Saccharomyces cerevisiae S288C: one gene and its partner. The protein of the gene in region 1 interacts with the protein of each later gene in a biochemical or structural test. Each region holds a gene or a part of one and is shown on either strand. Other genes may lie near its edges.

Region 1 (7,463 bases):
TCCAGGTCGTGCGGATGCAAAATATCATCTACGTTGTTATAGTTTACATTCGCTACTACGACCGGATGAGGATGTAGATGAGATGCATGAAGTACGGGATCCGAATTTACCAAACCTTGGTTTTGCCTTAGATACTGGTAGGAGCTATCGAAAAAAGATGTTGCAGTTTTCTTTTGAGCGGCGGAACGATGATAACCTTTAGAGTATATGAATGATTTGAAAGCCATTTTCGTTTGTGTATGCTTGTTTTTTCTTTTCTGTTTGTTGTAGTCTCTATAAATTTAAATGCACTTATCTTTTTATGCAAAAAAAGCTGGGCGAGTTATTTGTTTCTATATTTGTATAATTTTTTTTTTTGTGAAGATGAATATAAACTGACAAAAAATTGTGTCAGAGTTGAAGCTATAGCTCCTTTTATGATGTGTCTTGGTTCTTTGGGTGCGATATTAGGGAAACAACGCACAGCAAATTTTCTTCTGCTTTCTTATAACGTTATAAACAATCCTGTTGTCTTGGTTTATTATGTGGAAAACTTTTCACGGATCAATTTTATAAAGCATACAACTAAAGAGAAAAGTGTAATATGGACGAACGAGAGACAACTTAATCCATGGATTTGTAATTGACGTGTGTATGATTCGAGGGAAACTGACAGTTTTTGCTTTGTCATGGGGGAATTGTAAGGCACACCGAGTCTCGGCCCCGAGTGCCTGGCCAATGAGAACGCGCGCATTCGGAGCTGCCCCACTTTTTGTGCGCTCTTGCATTTCATTGGTTAGCCGGAGGAATTCGGCGGTTAAAAGCGGACTCGAGCGGAAATAAAGTCTTTGCTTATTGTATGCCAGGAAAAGCTCTACAAATCTACTAAAAGAGTCAAATATACAGCTTTGCCAAGCGTGCGGCATAGGGAATAACAACAAATTGGAAATGTGCGGCTAGCGTAATCTTGGTATCTACTACCGACTCTGAAGAGTTTAGCGGGCTCTCAGACGGTTTTTTCGCTTTTGGCATTTTATTCAGGTAGCCTTAGATGTTAAATTTTCCATGGCATCTTGCGTAAAGCCTGCTAGGTTCCTTGCCACGTATAATTGCGCCGCGAATTCTGTGATAAATATATTGTAAGATTTTCTGTTGTCTTGGAATTGCTCTCTCTTTAAATAATACTTTATATGTTTACCCCAATTCTTTGCCGCCGAAAGGTCAGCGTTGCATTACGTGGTGTCCGGTCGCTATTTCCTGGGTTTTCTGCGGCAGATTCGCACTGCGCGCCACAGCTGCAACAACTGCAGTGTTATTTCGGGTGCCAATTTAGCGTGCTTCGATCTAACTATTCTGTAAATTCTGTAGTGACTCTTTAGGGCGAAGTACGTATTTCATGATTTAAAATCCCCGTCTTCAAATATACCGAAAAAAGAAACAAGACATTTTTTAGCAGTTTATGTACGCATTTTAAAAGCCGGGAAATGCTTCTTGTTACCCCTTTTGGCGCTTTGGATAAGTAGTTCACTTAGCTATTTTTTTTTCCGGTTCGAACTCGGGGTGAGGCTTTATCATGCACTTTTTTTTGGCTATTATTAATTTTCGCAGCCTTAATTTTTCCCTTTCCATTTTCTCGCATGTGGCGGTTTTCAGTATTACTTAGAGATGCCTTAAATAAATCTAACAGGCAGGTATACCAGGTACGAGTTAAAAACCTTTATCAGGTGGCCGACACTAGGGAATAAGACAGCATGGAGCGGCCTGGCTTGGTATTGCAGGACCTTCCACCCGAAATCCTGATAAACATCTTTTCTCACTTAGACGAAAAGGACTTGTTCACGTTGCAAGAACTTTCTACGCATTTCCGGAACTTAATTCACGATGAAGAACTTTGGAAGAACCTGTTTAAGTCTAGAGTTCACACGACTCATTTCCCCACATTTTCTCAGTCTTCGAAATTTAGTGTAGAGTATATTGAAAGGACACGGGGTCTTCATCATTGGCAGCATAACAAGGCTATAAGAACCAAATACACAATAATTCCGACGAGAAACTGGGATCAGCCCAGTATAGAACGCATAGTGTTTGATTATCCACGAGTTGCAGCTTATAATGATGGTACCATTACAATTTTACAGTTACAAAATCACAAAAGGCAGAAGAAATTTAAGAAATTGATTTATATTCCATGTACAACACCACAAGGTTGTTCTACCATGGACTTCAATATTAATGCTGCAGTGTTTGGTAGGTTTGACGGCAGAGTGTTTGGAAAACTGCTAAGTAACAAATCGTACTTAACGCCCGTGATGGAATTTACGGGAAGGCATAGTGCAGGCGTTACTGCCATTTGTAATTCAGAATCCTGGGACACGTCAAGAGAGGACTGGTCTGTTAGTGGCTCTGAAAACGGTGAAATTATATGGTGGTGCGAAAATAAGCTTGTTAAGATGTGGAAGGTTTCTAATAGGGTAATTTGGAAACTGGCTTTTTTTAAAGATTGGACCTTAATTATGGATGATGAAAAGCTGTACATTATCCATCAAATGCAGGAATTGCACAGTATTGATATTCCTAAGGATCTGGACGAACAGCCTATGAGGGTACGGTTTTTCAAGATGGATTTCGGTTCCATGACTTTGGTACTTGCTGACCTGAATAACGTTTATACAATATCGGTCAATCCCAATGGTAACTTCGGCAATTTGAGAAAGTTGGAGATGCCTGAACAAATATGCGCAGTTGAAATAGATGAAAAAACTTCTCAAAGGGAACAAAACTGGCAATTTGCTGGTGATGACGGCTGCTATATCAGTCTTTTGACGACACAGAACACTTTATACATTATCAATATAAGAGATCTTTCTTCGTCAGGCTTAAAAGTTCAATGTAAGATAAGTTTTGATGAGCAGGTATACGTATCGCAGGTGACAAATTTAATAGTTGTGGTAGCATTGCCAAATGTTCTTCAAATATTGAACGCGATGACAGGCGAGTTAATAAAGACAGTGTTGAAAACCGAGAAGTTTCCCGAATTTTTGAAGGTATCGCAGGATAAAATCATTATGGGAAGCGGTAACGTTTTGAATTATTTAAAGTTTGTTTCAAGTGATTCAAAGAAACATCACCATTCCACTAAAGGTAAAAACACAGTAAGCAATAAGTGGAATGAAACTTTGAACACGGAGCTGCAATATTATGATGAAGATGAAGACCTTAGAAGAAAAAGACAGTCAGAAATATCAAGATTGATCGATGCGTATGGTGGAGACCTTGAACTTTCAGGCGACACCGATGAAGAAAACGACATTCAGTTGAGAATTGCACTCTTAGAATCACAGGAGGCGCAAGCACGGAATCAAGCTGAAGCGGGGGAGCCTGTCGGAGATGATGAAGATGAGCAGTTAAGAAGGGCGCTGGAGGAATCTCAACTGATATATGAGACGCAAACGAATAGCTCTGCGAATCATGGTAATAATACGAATGATGAGATAGATGAAGATGATGAAGAGTTTCTCAGAGCCATCAGACAATCAAGAGTGGAGGACGAAAGGAGAAGACATCTTAGAAATCATACTACAGGTCGACGAAATGGGCCCTTGAGCGACGATAATTTTGCTACATATGGTGCAGCAGAGTCATCCGAACGAACCTCAACTGAGAACACTATCGGTAGTTCTGTTGGCGTTGATGCTAGTAATAATGTTGATGAAGACTTACAATTGGCCATTGCGTTGTCATTGAGTGAAATCAATTGAAAGTATGTACATTTGGAAGAGCATATGTTAAATATTTTATTTATAGATTTTTCGTTGTGAAATATTATTTTTTTTTTTTTGAAAAAAATGTCGGACTTTATTCCTCCTAATTATTAATAAAATACGAATATATATCTAAATATAATTAATGCTTATTTACATGAAAAATCATCAATCGTAAACAGTTGATTAAAAAACAAAAACTTTATCGGTTCCATTACCTTTGTGAAACCCATTACTCCACCCCAACTCCTTTGCATAATTCAAAACCATTTCATTCATTTTAGGTGGTCCGCAAATCAATAAACGATGGTCCTCCGCTTGTTTAGGTAGGTATCTTTTCATTTCCTCTAGAGTTACGTACCCAACATCACCGTTCCATTTACCGTTTGGCTTATGAATTACATAATGAACTTTAAAATGCGGGTACTCCTTAGCCATGTGGTCTAGTTGCGATTTCATGAGAATGTCATCCTCTGTTTCGTTTGCGTATATCAAAGAAATGTGTGTTAGGTCTTCTGGAGAGGGTATGATTTCTTGCAGCACTTGCAATACAGGGGTTATACCAGACCCCCCTGCGATTATACCCAACTCTGTTGCGGTGTCCTGATCATATTCCAGCTCACCTAACGGCCCTTTAAATTCAACATACTGGCGAATTTTTAATTTATCAAAATACTTAGAAACGACACCATGTTTATACGTCTTGACTACTAATTCCAAGTGACCCTCCGTATTAGGAACATTTACTGGCGTATAGTACCTCACTAATCGCTCACCATTTATTGTAACCCTTACTGCCAGGTGGTATCCCATGGGAATATGCAATCTTTCAAATGGGTACTTTAACTTGAAGCAGTACAGACTAGTATTACGAGAAATGCGGGTCTTCTTGGATAGCGGTAGCGCGACCCATTTATTTCTGTAAAGAGATTTATCAGTTCCAATCGAAATAAACGCTGTGGCATAAAGTACTACGAATTGCAGCAATGAAACGACCACGATTCTACCATTTTGCGTTTTCCAAAAGTAAAGAGGTGTAACCACACAATTCAGAAGCAATCCAGTACAAAATGGATAAAACGGATTTGTCGAAACAAAAGATATGCATGTCTCTACTATCGACATTGTTGCGAATGGTTGCTTTTTACAAAGAAAAAATGTGATATGAGTTAATACTAAACATACTTAAATCCTAGAGAGAAAAAAAGTACTGCAATATATACAGCACTCAAAATACATTTCTATCTGATTTCTAAAAACTTCCCTGTAGATGGATCTACGTTACGCCATGCCGATGTTTCGTTTTTGCTTATACGACCAATCATTACCGCGTTCGGCTTTTCCAAAAAAAAAAAACTATAGTAAGGATAATGAAAAGAAAAAAGGGTCCCATGATTACTAAAAAGCTCTAATTCAAAAAAAAAGTCTTTGATAGGCAGCTAGGAATAGTTATTAGAATGTACATGAACAGTCATCACACTGCTATATATATATATATATATATTCTTTTTTAGTAAAATATAGAGATTATTGAGACAAAAAGAGACTAGTCGGACAACTCACTAGGATCTATAATACCATTTATGATAGCCCACTGTTTGTTTGCCAAGAATACATTATCGGGATCTTGCTCCTTTCTTATTTTCCGGAACTTTTTCAAATCCTCGCCATACCATTCTTCAACCTTCAATGCCATCCCCCTCATTTCAAAGTCATCGTAATCAGTATCCTTTTTCACTGGTCCAGCAGCTAGAGTGGTTGAGCCTAGGAAGTTCTTGGCCCAATGTGGCTTACCTCCCGCTACCATCATAGTATTTTCAAAAAGGGTAAACCATTTATGAATTGGAGTATTACAGCCAAACGGCCTATAAATGGTAGCATTTATGTACAACGTCAACTGACTGTTGGTAACATTTTCCAACGGAGCAAATCTGCAATGGGATGGTGTGTTATCCAGGAATGGGCGGCACACATTGCCATAAACGGGACCGGGACTGGTGTTTGTTCTCTTGCTAGTATCCAAGGGTTCAGAAGGTAATGTAGTATTTGAGCAACGGACTTCCATAGGCACGTGGACATAAAATTCTTTGTTTATGGCAGCCTGCGCAATAGAATGATCCAATGAACGTAAGACTTCCAAACCATTATCCATAGGGCACCCCCATTCATCAACAAATTGTGAAAACAAACAGTCCATATTAAATCCGCTGATAGAATCGGTAACATTAACATCACCAGTAGAGCTCTTCTCCAATTTCCCGTATTGCCTGTTGAAAACGAACTTTTCCACAAATGGGGTTAATGGCGCATAGATTTTGGTAGAGATCCATAATAGAGTTTCGTAGAAAAATCTACCCAGCTTGGTACCCCACCATGACTTGGCTGGACCATTTTGGGCATCTGTAGTTTTGTTACCCCTCCATAGAACACATTTTCTAGTATAAGGGTACCACCAAACTCTGATAAATTCAGATGAAGTCCATAGGGTATCCCATTGCTTCAAAAGGTTTTCAAAAGTAATCACTTCTTGAGTGGATTTAATATTGAAGCCGGGAACAACCCTGATAGTAGCAGAGACAATGATACCAATTTTTCCAACTGAAAGTAAAGCAGCTTTAAAGACTTCTGGATCGTTTTCAGCATCCAAGAACTTCAATTCGCCCTTACCATTAACAATAGTCAAGTTTACGTATTGAGAAGAAATCAAACCGTGATAAGGTGAGGAACCATGACTACCAGTAGAGATTATGCCAGCAACACTTTGTTCTGAGATAGAGCCTAAATTTTGGATAGAGTAACCTTTCGCACCCAAAAATTCATTCAATTGGTAAAGCCTCATACCGGCATCAACTGTGACATCGGCATAATGTAACTCAGGATATTCAACAAACTTTTGTACTTTGTCCAATCTGTCTAAGTTAACAAGCCATTCATCAGTAACGCACATGTTACTAGGAGAATGGCCCGAACCAACAGTAACTAAGCTTTTTTCAGCTAGCCTGGCACTCTTTACTAACTCGACAACCTCATCAATTGAACTTGGTTGGAAGTAACGTTCTGGTTTTGCAGAATAAATTCCGGCCCAGTTTTTGAACACATAGTTCTTTCTAAATGGGATAGTAGACATGGGGTGAAAAACCTGATAATATCGGTAACTTTAATTTTACGGGTTCTTGTTTTACCTTCTAATGAATTTTAAGTTTTGAAAAGCAGAAAATCAGATATTGAAACTATAGATCTGCTTACCTTGAAGTTCACTATTTTTGGAATTCTCCTTGCTAATAGTTACTTCTACTCTTGCTTTGTCCTGGATATCAATGGAAGATGTCCTCATTTCCATTTTTTTTTTCAATTCGACGGCAAGGCGGGAGAAAAGGAACTAGGGATACAAAAATGCAATTACTAATGAAATCCGTGAAATAATCATGGAAATGGGTGATGTAAGAATCTGATGAAACAAGTACAAATGTCTTTGGCCCATCAACTACGATGAGACTTACTAAGCTTTCATCAAATGCAGGTTAGAGAAGGAGAATGGTTTTTTTTTTTATTTTTTGTACATAGATATTAGAGAAATATAATAAGTAGATTATAGATAAGATATCACCAAAGAGATATAACAGTAGGGGGAATTTTTTTTTTTACAATATACTTGAAATATAGAAAGGATAAGGAGGTTGGGGGCGAGAGTGAACCTTAAAATTCCTCTTCCTCAGCGTATGA
Region 2 (9,744 bases), on another chromosome or scaffold:
CCTTTTCTTATTGGTGTTGACCGAAATATCAGACTCTGATAAAGTTTCCGACCTCTTTTTGTTATTATTATCATTGCGATCATCAGTATTCTTGAAATTTTCTCCCCCTTTGCCGCCATTCTTCGAGGAAGACATATTATTGTTTTTATTTCCATTTGGTGGTTGGCTAAATGCCTGCTGATACTGTGGTAAAATAATTGGTTTTGCTTCAGCAACTGTCGTTGACGGAGAAAACGGCGGGGAGAATGAATCAAGATGGTTATTGATATTACTAGTATTGACATTGATATTGCTTGGTCTAATATTGTATTTGTTCATAGTTGTCCGTGCTTGAAAGTCGGCAGAATCTTTATATTTGAAGGAAGTACTTGGCATGGACCTCGGAGGAAAGGACGATATGATTACCTCAGAGGCCGGATGGCTCGTTGAGGAGGGGCTCACATTCAAAGGATACTGCACATCTACTGATGGTAAATAATTGATGGTGTTATTATTACTGGGAAGAGGATACTGGTAGTAACTATCAGTGATTGGATGGGAAGGAAAATAATAGGGAGCCTGTTGATGCTGTTGTTGTTGGTGTTGTTGCTGTCGTTGGGTATTATAAATGGACCTTGGAGAGATGGGTGGGATGCTTCTCGTGCTAGTAATGAACTCCGGCGAAGAATGTATTATTTGGGGCGCTTTTTCGTTTTCTGCCATCATCGGCATGTTCCCGCTATTAATATTAGTTTTCCTGTAAGGATCACTATATGATGTAGATGATGAAGCAGAAGACGAAGAAGATGCAGAAGAAGAGGAGGATAAAGATGAAGAGGAAGGCTTACGCTGGTGCGAGCTGGTAGAATGGTGGTTTTTATGTGCATGGACCGATTCCCGATGCTGTTTCAAATTATCAACTCTACTGAAGAATTTCAAACATGCAGGACACTGGAACGGCTTTTCACCAGTGTGCTTTCTTATATGACGTGCAAGATGTTCCGCTCTAGTGAAGGACATCGTACAACCGTCATATCCGGTGCATTTGAACGTTTTCCTTCGAGCACTTTTGGACCTCTTCGGAGTTGATGCCGCTACACTATTGGTGGCAAAGTTACCATTGCTGCTCGTAAGAACGCCTGCAGTATTACGATTCGTGGTATTTTCCATTTCGTGTTTTTTTCTTATCTTATCACAGTATTATTTATGTGTTAGTAAAAAAAGCTAAGCCAGTAAGTCGCTCCAGATTTTTTCTTTACATACATGGTTAATGAAGCTGTTGCAAAATACTGCAGCCAAGAACTCCTGTCTCTTTCAAAACAAGACGAAACTTTATCTGCCGGGATGAATAAGAATTAATCAAAATTATAGGCAATAAGAGTGGATTGAGATTGTTATATACGGAAGACTGTTGAACGGTTAAGGGGGAAGCCGTGAAGGAGCAAACAAATCTTGAAAAAGAAAACATTTTCTAAAAAAAAATAGAGGGGATAAATAAGGCCCTTAGGGGGACTCAACGGCGGAGAATTCGAAAGCCAAAGGATGCTTCCCACCGCTAAGCCAGGGCGAACGGCAGCGGCGATCGAGGATGCTGGTTCTTTAAGGGCACTCGTCCACCTTCGCGATTTTTCTCTTCCCTGAGTATTTGGCAGAGGCGATCAAGGGGTGGCTCACACAACCAGTCGCAGGAGCGTCGCGCATCGGGTATTAGACCCTATTCTGTACACCACAGCCTTCCAGCCCCTTGCCCCACGCGATTGGTGTAAACAATAGATGGCAGTAATCGTTGAGACAACATAACTACCGGCCGTCCCTGACCCTTTCCCCTCCTCACGGTAGAGACAACAACCACGGGAGGAATAAAAACCGGTGCTGGGCCAGCCGATATCGTAAAAGCCTAATTACCCCAGAGCTGCTACGCGGACTTCTATTCTTCCACGCGTCAATATGCCCCCGCGCGAATTTGTGTGGGCCGACCAAATAGAAGAATTGAACGGTGTGTACGCTCAGGGCCATATGATTATAGACGTACACAATGATTAGGCCAGATCGAAATCAGAGGCTAAAGTAAGGAAACGATAGAAAAATAACAAAGTAATTACTATTATGTCTGATAAATAGAAGCGACACGTTACATATTAAAAGAGGGACTACGTAGTGCTCTCTCTATTTCTTAGTAGAAACGGCGACCGCGACAGCTTGGAGGTCATCGTGAGAAATAGATACCTTCACATCGGTAACACCAGCTTCTTCGGCAGCCTTTTTGGCGTTACCGTGCAGTTCAACGGCTGGAGCGTTTTTGTTAACGCGTACGATTTCGATGTCTTTCAATGCAGCACCACCGCCTAAGGACTTGACGCCTAAGGACTTGAAAACAGCCTCTTTGGCGGACCATGTCCCAGCGAAAGAGCTTTGCACACTAGGCTGCGCGCTGCAGTACTCTATTTCTTGCGGGGTGAAATTGCGCTCGATAAAAGTATCATTTTCAACGTTGATGCTAGTGATTAATTCAACATCTACACCGACGCCACCGTTAGAGACTTTCTCCTTGGTCATGTTTTCAATCATCTTGGCAGTTTCAATGGTGTTAGCATTGATGTAACTGTCCTTGCTTTGGATGTTTTTAGAGTTGAAAGTCAAGGAGCCTGATTTCTTATCCTTAGATACACGGGCTAATGGGTCCAAGTAAACATCCTCTTCCAATTCATCAGTGTATGGAGCATGCTCTTTACTTACGAACAACTTGTTGTAGATCATACCATTATGGAAGAATTTGTAGGCACTTTTCTCTCTGGCACTAACCTTGGCGACATACTCGTTGTATCTGTCTTCAGTGATAGCACCGTATAAGTAGTCTGGATGAACCACAATAGCTTGACCACCCTTTTGACCAAAACCGAAAGAAGTGATGGACACGGCTCTGACACCGTCGGTCTTTAAAGTCTTGGATGGGTACAAGACGTATTCAAATTGCTCCAAGATCTTATCCACGTTATCAGCGTTACGGTTACCTGGAATAATACCACTGTTTAGAATTTGCAAAGCACCATTCATCATCCATGCACCAGCAGCACCCTTTGGATGACCAGTCAAGAACTTTTGGAAAACACCAATGACGGGATTACCTTCAGATCTACCCAAATGCTTCATCATTTCATTAATTGTGGCAGATTCGTTCTTGTCATTAGCCTTTGTGGATGTACCGTGGAATGAAGCGACACCCAAGTCATCAATAGTTAAACCGTAAGTAGCCAGTGCTCCTCTCAATGGAGCAATACGTGGGTCCCTCTTGTAGAAGTCGTTACCCCATTGTTGTTGTGCAGCTCTCAATTGACTTTCAGCTTCGTTGTGGATTTCTCTGGTACGTTCAAGTAAGAACTCGTTTTGGTCTTCGCTTGGAATTTCTTCGGCCTCCAACTTCAAAGCTTCCAATTCGTTTTCTACCCAATCTTTAATCTGAGCTTCACGAGTAACCAATTGGCGCTTTCTGTACTTCATGTTCAAGTTTGGTGAAGCATACTTAACACTGGAGTGGTGTTCACGAGCAGTGGTTAAAATACCCTTACCTGGAGCTGGCACAGATCTACCAATCTTATCGGTGGCGGTAGCAGCCATGGCAACAATACCGTAAATTGGCACACCCATCTTCAAAGCTAAATCAGCTTGCATGATGATTTGAATACCAGCACCTTGAGCTTCCATAAAACCGTTACGGGTAGTGGTGGCAGGTCTGGACATTTCCGCTGGGGTACGACCATGTTCAAATTCTTCCAAAGTGTTGGAAGTGGCCTTCATGTTACCGAACTCAAAGGAGCCTTCTTCTTGGAAATCATCGTAACCACCGACAATACAGATTCTAGCCTTACCAGACAAGATGGTTTCTACACCAATGTCAACAGATTCCACGGATGTGGCACAGGCACCAACAGGTGTCTTGATTGGACCAGATGAGGAAATCAACAACATATTAACCCAAGCGGACATGGTGTTGATAAATGATTCTTGTAAAATATCATTTTGGACAGGCTCATCCTTGAAACGGTCCTTAAACATACCACGTAAGGCAGAAACACCACCCATACCAGAACCAGAACAGTTACCAACCTCAGAAACATGTACGTATTTGTACATTTCGTATGGGTCGGTGATACCAGATGCAATAAATGCTTCCACAACAGAGACCAAAACGAATAATGTGATTGGGTCAACCTGAGAAATGATATCATCAGAGATACCATAAGTCTTAGCATTCCAACCAGTTGGAATTTGACCTGCAACCAAACGGTCAAATCTCAAAGCCTTTGGAATGTATAAAGTGGCACCCTTTAGTAACTTAACAGAGTACTCTCCTGTTTCTGGGATTTCGAAGATATCCACTTTGTCACCATGTTGGTGTTTAAATTGTTCGGCAGTTTCCTTCGAAGCCTCAAATGGTTCCAAGTCTTCTTCGACAATGACTTCTTGAATCATTTCCTTCTTTTCTGGGTTGTAACCATTGAATAACTCTGGTTCGATCAATCTGATACCACTGTGTTCTAGGATTGATGTTTCATACTTGGCCTTAACGTCCTTGTCATCAACTGGTTCTTTTGTTTTGGAATCAACCCAACCAGTGTATGGACGACCCTTCAAATTACCGTTATGGTATGAAATGAAGCCCATAATCCAGGCCATTTCAACGCAACCTTCCAACGAAAATTCACCAAAAGCTTCCATTTCCCATCTTGTTCTGGCCGAACCCCATGGGCCGACTTCAGCAAAACCGGTAACTACAATAACTCTTTCCAAATCCAACAAACCTTCAAGCTCAGCGGGAGCAATTTGTTTAACCTGTTTGTATGGTTTCAATTCTGGGAAGTCCAGTTGAATGTTAGCTCTTGGTTGAATTTCGACTTGAGCATATGCAGCATCAGCGCTATTGCCATTGACAACCTTATGCTCCAAAGCAGTTTCGATGGAAACTGCCTTTCTAACTTCAGAAGTTTCAACCAACTCTTTACGCAATTTAGCAGTGAATTCCTTCAATTCAGGAACAAATTGCAAACCACCATTCAAGTCAGCCATAACAGGTGATTTTTGGCACAATTCTACGACTTCTGGAGTCAATAGACCCAATAAGTTGAAAGCCATTTCCTTTTGAGAGAAAGTACGAACACCCATCTTTTCAATGCCTTCAGCAATGATGTTATTAGCGCTCATTAAACCAGTACCTCTAGTCCAACCAATAATAGCACCGCAAACGGTTAATTGATTGGCCCAGGATTCAGAGTGCCATCTGTTGAACAAAGTTTCCAAAGACAACTTGGATTCTGAATACATACCATCACCACCGAAAGTACCATGGTTTGGAGACATTGGTAGAATGACTTGAGCTGGTCTTGTTTCAATACCTCTTGCAGATTTTTGCTTCTTGACACAACCCATCATTCTTAAGATATTGGTCAACATGATTCTATGAGCAAATTCAGACTTAGAATCAATATGTTCTAATTCAATACCTTGTTCTGGAATGGCCGCGAATGGAATAATAGCATCTAGATCCCAACCTAAACCACCATTCTTTTCAGTGTCGTAGATAAATTCAATCAAAGCTTCAACGTCTTGCTTAGAACCTTGGTTGAATGGAACAACAATCAAAGTAGAACCCTTAGCACCATATTTGGCGTAAATGGATTGGTAGTAGTCTGTAACTTGCTTAGAGAAACGAGAGGTGGTAACAACAACCTTAGCACCACCTTGTAACAAACCTTGCAAGACTTCAGCACCAATAGAACCCTTACCAGCACCAGTGATCAAGACGTATTTGTCCTTGAAGGTGACACCGTTGAAGGCAGCCTTTTCTAAACCATCTAAGAAAAGAGAAGACAATTGGCGGTCATATTTCCAATCTCCGGCAGGAGTCTTCTTTCTCAAATGTAAGAACGGAATAGTTTCTCTTGGAATAGTTGAAGATACCGTCTTAGAAATGGTAGATTTGTTTGGCAAAGAAGCAACTTCTTTGGTGGAATCTTTGTCCAAAGCATCCTCAACATCCATACCGGCCAATTGGGTTGTTTGAGAAGGATCGATTTCTTTGGAGCTTTCCAAGAACTTCATCAAATCACTATATAGTTTTTCAAATTCAACCCTGGTGGAGCTGGAAATATCTTGTTTATCAGCTTGAGCACTGATTGCCTTGTAAACACGAGTCAAATCCTCTTCAATAGTAGGTTGAGATTCTTTGGTGATTGGACCACCAAGGGCCATTTCTTGTACGTATTGAGATAATTTCCTAACCTTTTCTCTTGGCTCTTCTGAGTATGTAATGTTACCGTTCTTGTCAATAGCAGTTTTTGGACCGGTAGGCTTAGCAACATCTTTGTAAACTGGATCAACATCCAAAACTTGTTTACAGTTTTCAATCAACTGCTCACCAAGAGTTTTAACCAATTGATAGTTTTCACCTTTTGTTTCATCAGTGTTAGAGATATGGTATTCCATGAATTTAATCAAAGCATCGTTAGATCTGTTCATGATATTGATAGCTTCACTAACAACCTCTCTATCAACGTTTTTCAAGACACCATGAATTATCTCAAAGTATAATGATAATAAAGATTGTTTAGCCCAGTTCCAGGAAGAATCGAAGGTTCTGGCCTTTTTTCTAGAGAAAGAAGTAGCAACACCGTTAACAAAGAATTCACCTAATTCGGCATTCAAGTAATCCAACTGAGCTTGAAGTTCAGCAACAGTGTCCTTTTCTTTCAAGAACTTTCTTTCACCGTTATCCAAGTCCATTTTTAGATAACGAGCCAATACTTGCAGTTGTTGACGCGCCAAAACCTTGTGGTCTTTGGTTATTTCTTCCAGAGCGCCAGCATCGATCATAGCTGCACCGGCAGCAGCACCTGCACCGGCAGCACCACTAGCGCTAGCAGCTGATGATAAGTCAACACCAACAATGGAAGCGTATTTTTGAGCCATGGAGTCCAAGAAAGCCTTGGCATCAGCTTCAGAACCTAGACGAGCAGCAGGCTCGTTAGATAAAGCTACCAAAAGGACACCATCTTGTCTACCAGATGGTAGTCCCCAGCGAGTTTGTAAGTATTTTCTAGCGACAGTAATAGTAAACCCACCAGGCATCTTAGATGAGATTAATCTTGATAATAACGAGGAAGATTGCTTACCCAATGCTCCAGAGAAGGTATCTTGGAAAGTTTCTGCCAATTCTTCTAATGGAGTTTCTTCTGGTTTTTCAGGAGTAGTACCAAATTCTTTACCTAAATCACCCAAAATTTCATTTTGGACTGTAGATTTACCACCGACCAAGTCTTTGATTGTCTTGGACATTGGAATGGAATCTAACGACTTCTTCAACTTGTGAGCAACCAAAACGTGCAACAATAGGGAAGCCTTGACAGGTTCATCGGCAATCTCAGCAGCTGCTGCAGCTGGGGCTGCTGCCGCGACGGGAGCTGGGGCTGCTGCTGCAGGAGCAGGAGCACTAGCAGCTGGAGTTGGAGCAGGAGCTTCTTCCTTAGCGGGCTCTTCCTTTGCAGCTAGTTCGGATGGATCTGGGGTATAATAAATCTCTTTGGCATCCTTCGAATAGCATAAGATTTCTCTATGTAAAGACAGAGCAGCATCGTAAGATTCGTATTTATTCTTCAAGGTTCTTTGAGCCATCCCAGCCAAAGTTGGAGAAGGACCGATTTCAACAACCCTTTCAGTGTTAAAATCCTTCAAAAAAACATCTTGAGTTTCAATCCATCTCACAGGAGAGGCAAATTGATAAGCTAACAATTCAGTTAGCAAAATATGAGCTAATTCTTGCTCAACTTCCGGCTTCATAATGATGGTATTTCAATTGGTGTTGCTGTAGCCCTTTAAACGTCTAATATAGCGGTTATTAGAAAAGCACGACAGTGGTGATGTGGTCTTGTGTAACCTTCAGTTAACAAGTTATATATGAGGCATAACCGTTTAGAAACAACTGGTTATCCAACATCTGTAAACTGCCCAACAAACCGTGCCTTAGTGAGATTTCGGTCGTAACGTTACGAGGCGAATGAGGTAGCATGTGAAAACGCGGGAGATAAAAAAAAAATGGTTGGATTTTGCTAAGCGATGGGTTAGTTTGCGGGTAATGCCCAATGTATTTTTAGGAAGAGTGATATTTAAATATTGCTTGGCTAAACTAAATACACGTCCATGATTCAGTAGTAAGTTGTTGTTTTTGGCCTGCAGACCAGAGAAAATTTAGGAAATATAGTAAAGAATAGGCGAAAGTATTAAGATATATTGATATACAAAAGGGGAGTTCGGATAGAATAGAAATATAGAAAATAGTTGGAATTAACGCGTTTTGACAACGGCTGGGACAACAACGACAACAACAACGACTACAATGATGGCGAATACAATCAACCAACATCTAATCTTGTTCTTTCTTGCTTTTCTGGCACTCTTGACGGCTTTATCGGTATGACCGACACCCTGTTCTACGTCGAGTTGAGCGTCTTCAACGTTCTTGTCGATGACGTCTACGTTTTCTTGTTGTTCTATTACCAGTTCTTCCATGTCATTAAACAATTGAGTAAGTTCTGCCATGGATTTTTCTAGTTTCAATAACTCTTGGTGCCTTGCCTGGACTTCCGCAAGAGCAGTCTTGGCTTCCCCACGTCTGTTAGCATTCAACAATGCTTGTGAGAAGATCTGCTGGCCCCCTACATCGCTTATGGCTGCTTCAACTTCATCTTCGGTGGCCTCTGGTTGAATGATCATATACTGCCTCTTGGCTTGCTCTTTATTCTCCTCCTTGTAGTTGGAATCCACAATTCTGTAGTCCTGGATAAGCTTCAAAAATCTTTGTCTGGAGTTTTCCGCCTGAGCTTGCTTGTTGGTGTCATGTATCCCATCCCTTTGGGCACTTTTAATCTCATTTTTCAGTTTGAACTGCAAGTCCGTGGCTTGTGCGACGAAGTTGTCCAGGGAGTGCCTTAAGTGACTTGCTTGCTCCTCATTAACTTCGGTCAGTAGCCTCTTATGCAAAGAATCGACCTGGTTGATGGTATGGTCGTACTTATCGAGATCGCGATTGATTTGACTGATCTTATTCATGAAGCCCACGAAATCGTGGCCTTCAGCACCGATAGCGCTCGAACCTTCGTCCAACTCGTATGACTCTTCAAAAGGGGTTTCCAACTGGTACGGATTATTATAACTCATTTGATTTGTTTCTATTTTTAATTGCCTTTTTTAATTGTAAAAGGGTTTTCTTTCAAGTATACACAGATTTACCGCAAAGACCGTCACTGCGTGAGATAGACCTTTCTTTGTTCTTTACTAAAAGTTATTGGTCTTTCCCCTTGTAACTTCCACGATTTGACTTGATTTGGTTCTTGACGTCTTTACGAGAAGTAAGATCCTGCTACTTTTCTTTTTTTGTATTCGCGTTTCACAGACACTAATTTTTTCTCTTTAACGGGCAAAAACTGGATTCTCCCCCATGCGCACAGCCTGCATATCGTCTTTTGTCGTTAGTGTGTGGGAAAAGGCTGGCTCTATACTTTTTTATTTTCAGCTCTTCGTACAAAGATAAAAAAGTGTAAAAAAATGAATAAAGCCCCAGAATATAGTTATCATTTACCACGAGGTTGACTGTCTTATATGTTATTTATTCAATCCTCCTCCAGGAAGTCCATTAAGCGCTTGACCTTTTCAACGTTATATCTTACCTTGGGTAGGTCTTGCTGTGTTTGATACAATTCATTGAGTGAGGCAACG

Evidence for each region.
Region 2: the proteins of UFO1 (region 1) and FAS2 form a complex in vitro, tested with the Saccharomyces cerevisiae proteins (one study listed by BioGRID).

The regions. Positions count from the first base shown.
Region 1 is NC_001145.3:90,505-97,967, forward strand, and holds UFO1 (SCF ubiquitin ligase complex subunit UFO1), read left to right. Parts: upstream 1-1,730; coding exon 1,731-3,737; downstream 3,738-7,463. Other genes in the region: RPM2 (ribonuclease P), read right to left, coding at 1-227; AIM33 (cytochrome-b5 reductase), read right to left, coding at 3,927-4,865; ALO1 (D-arabinono-1,4-lactone oxidase), read right to left, coding at 5,287-6,867; alpha-tubulin TUB1, read right to left, coding at 7,437-7,463. UniProt on the Saccharomyces cerevisiae protein: Substrate recognition component of a SCF (SKP1-CUL1-F-box protein) E3 ubiquitin-protein ligase complex which mediates the ubiquitination and subsequent proteasomal degradation of target proteins. Probably recognizes and binds to phosphorylated target proteins.
Region 2 is NC_001148.4:106,717-116,460, reverse strand, and holds FAS2 (trifunctional fatty acid synthase subunit FAS2), read right to left. Parts: upstream 7,810-9,744; coding exon 2,146-7,809; downstream 1-2,145. Other genes in the region: USV1 (Usv1p), read right to left, coding at 1-1,149; SSO1 (syntaxin), read right to left, coding at 8,314-9,186; MIND complex subunit NSL1, read right to left, coding at 9,639-9,744. UniProt on the Saccharomyces cerevisiae protein: Fatty acid synthetase catalyzes the formation of long-chain fatty acids from acetyl-CoA, malonyl-CoA and NADPH.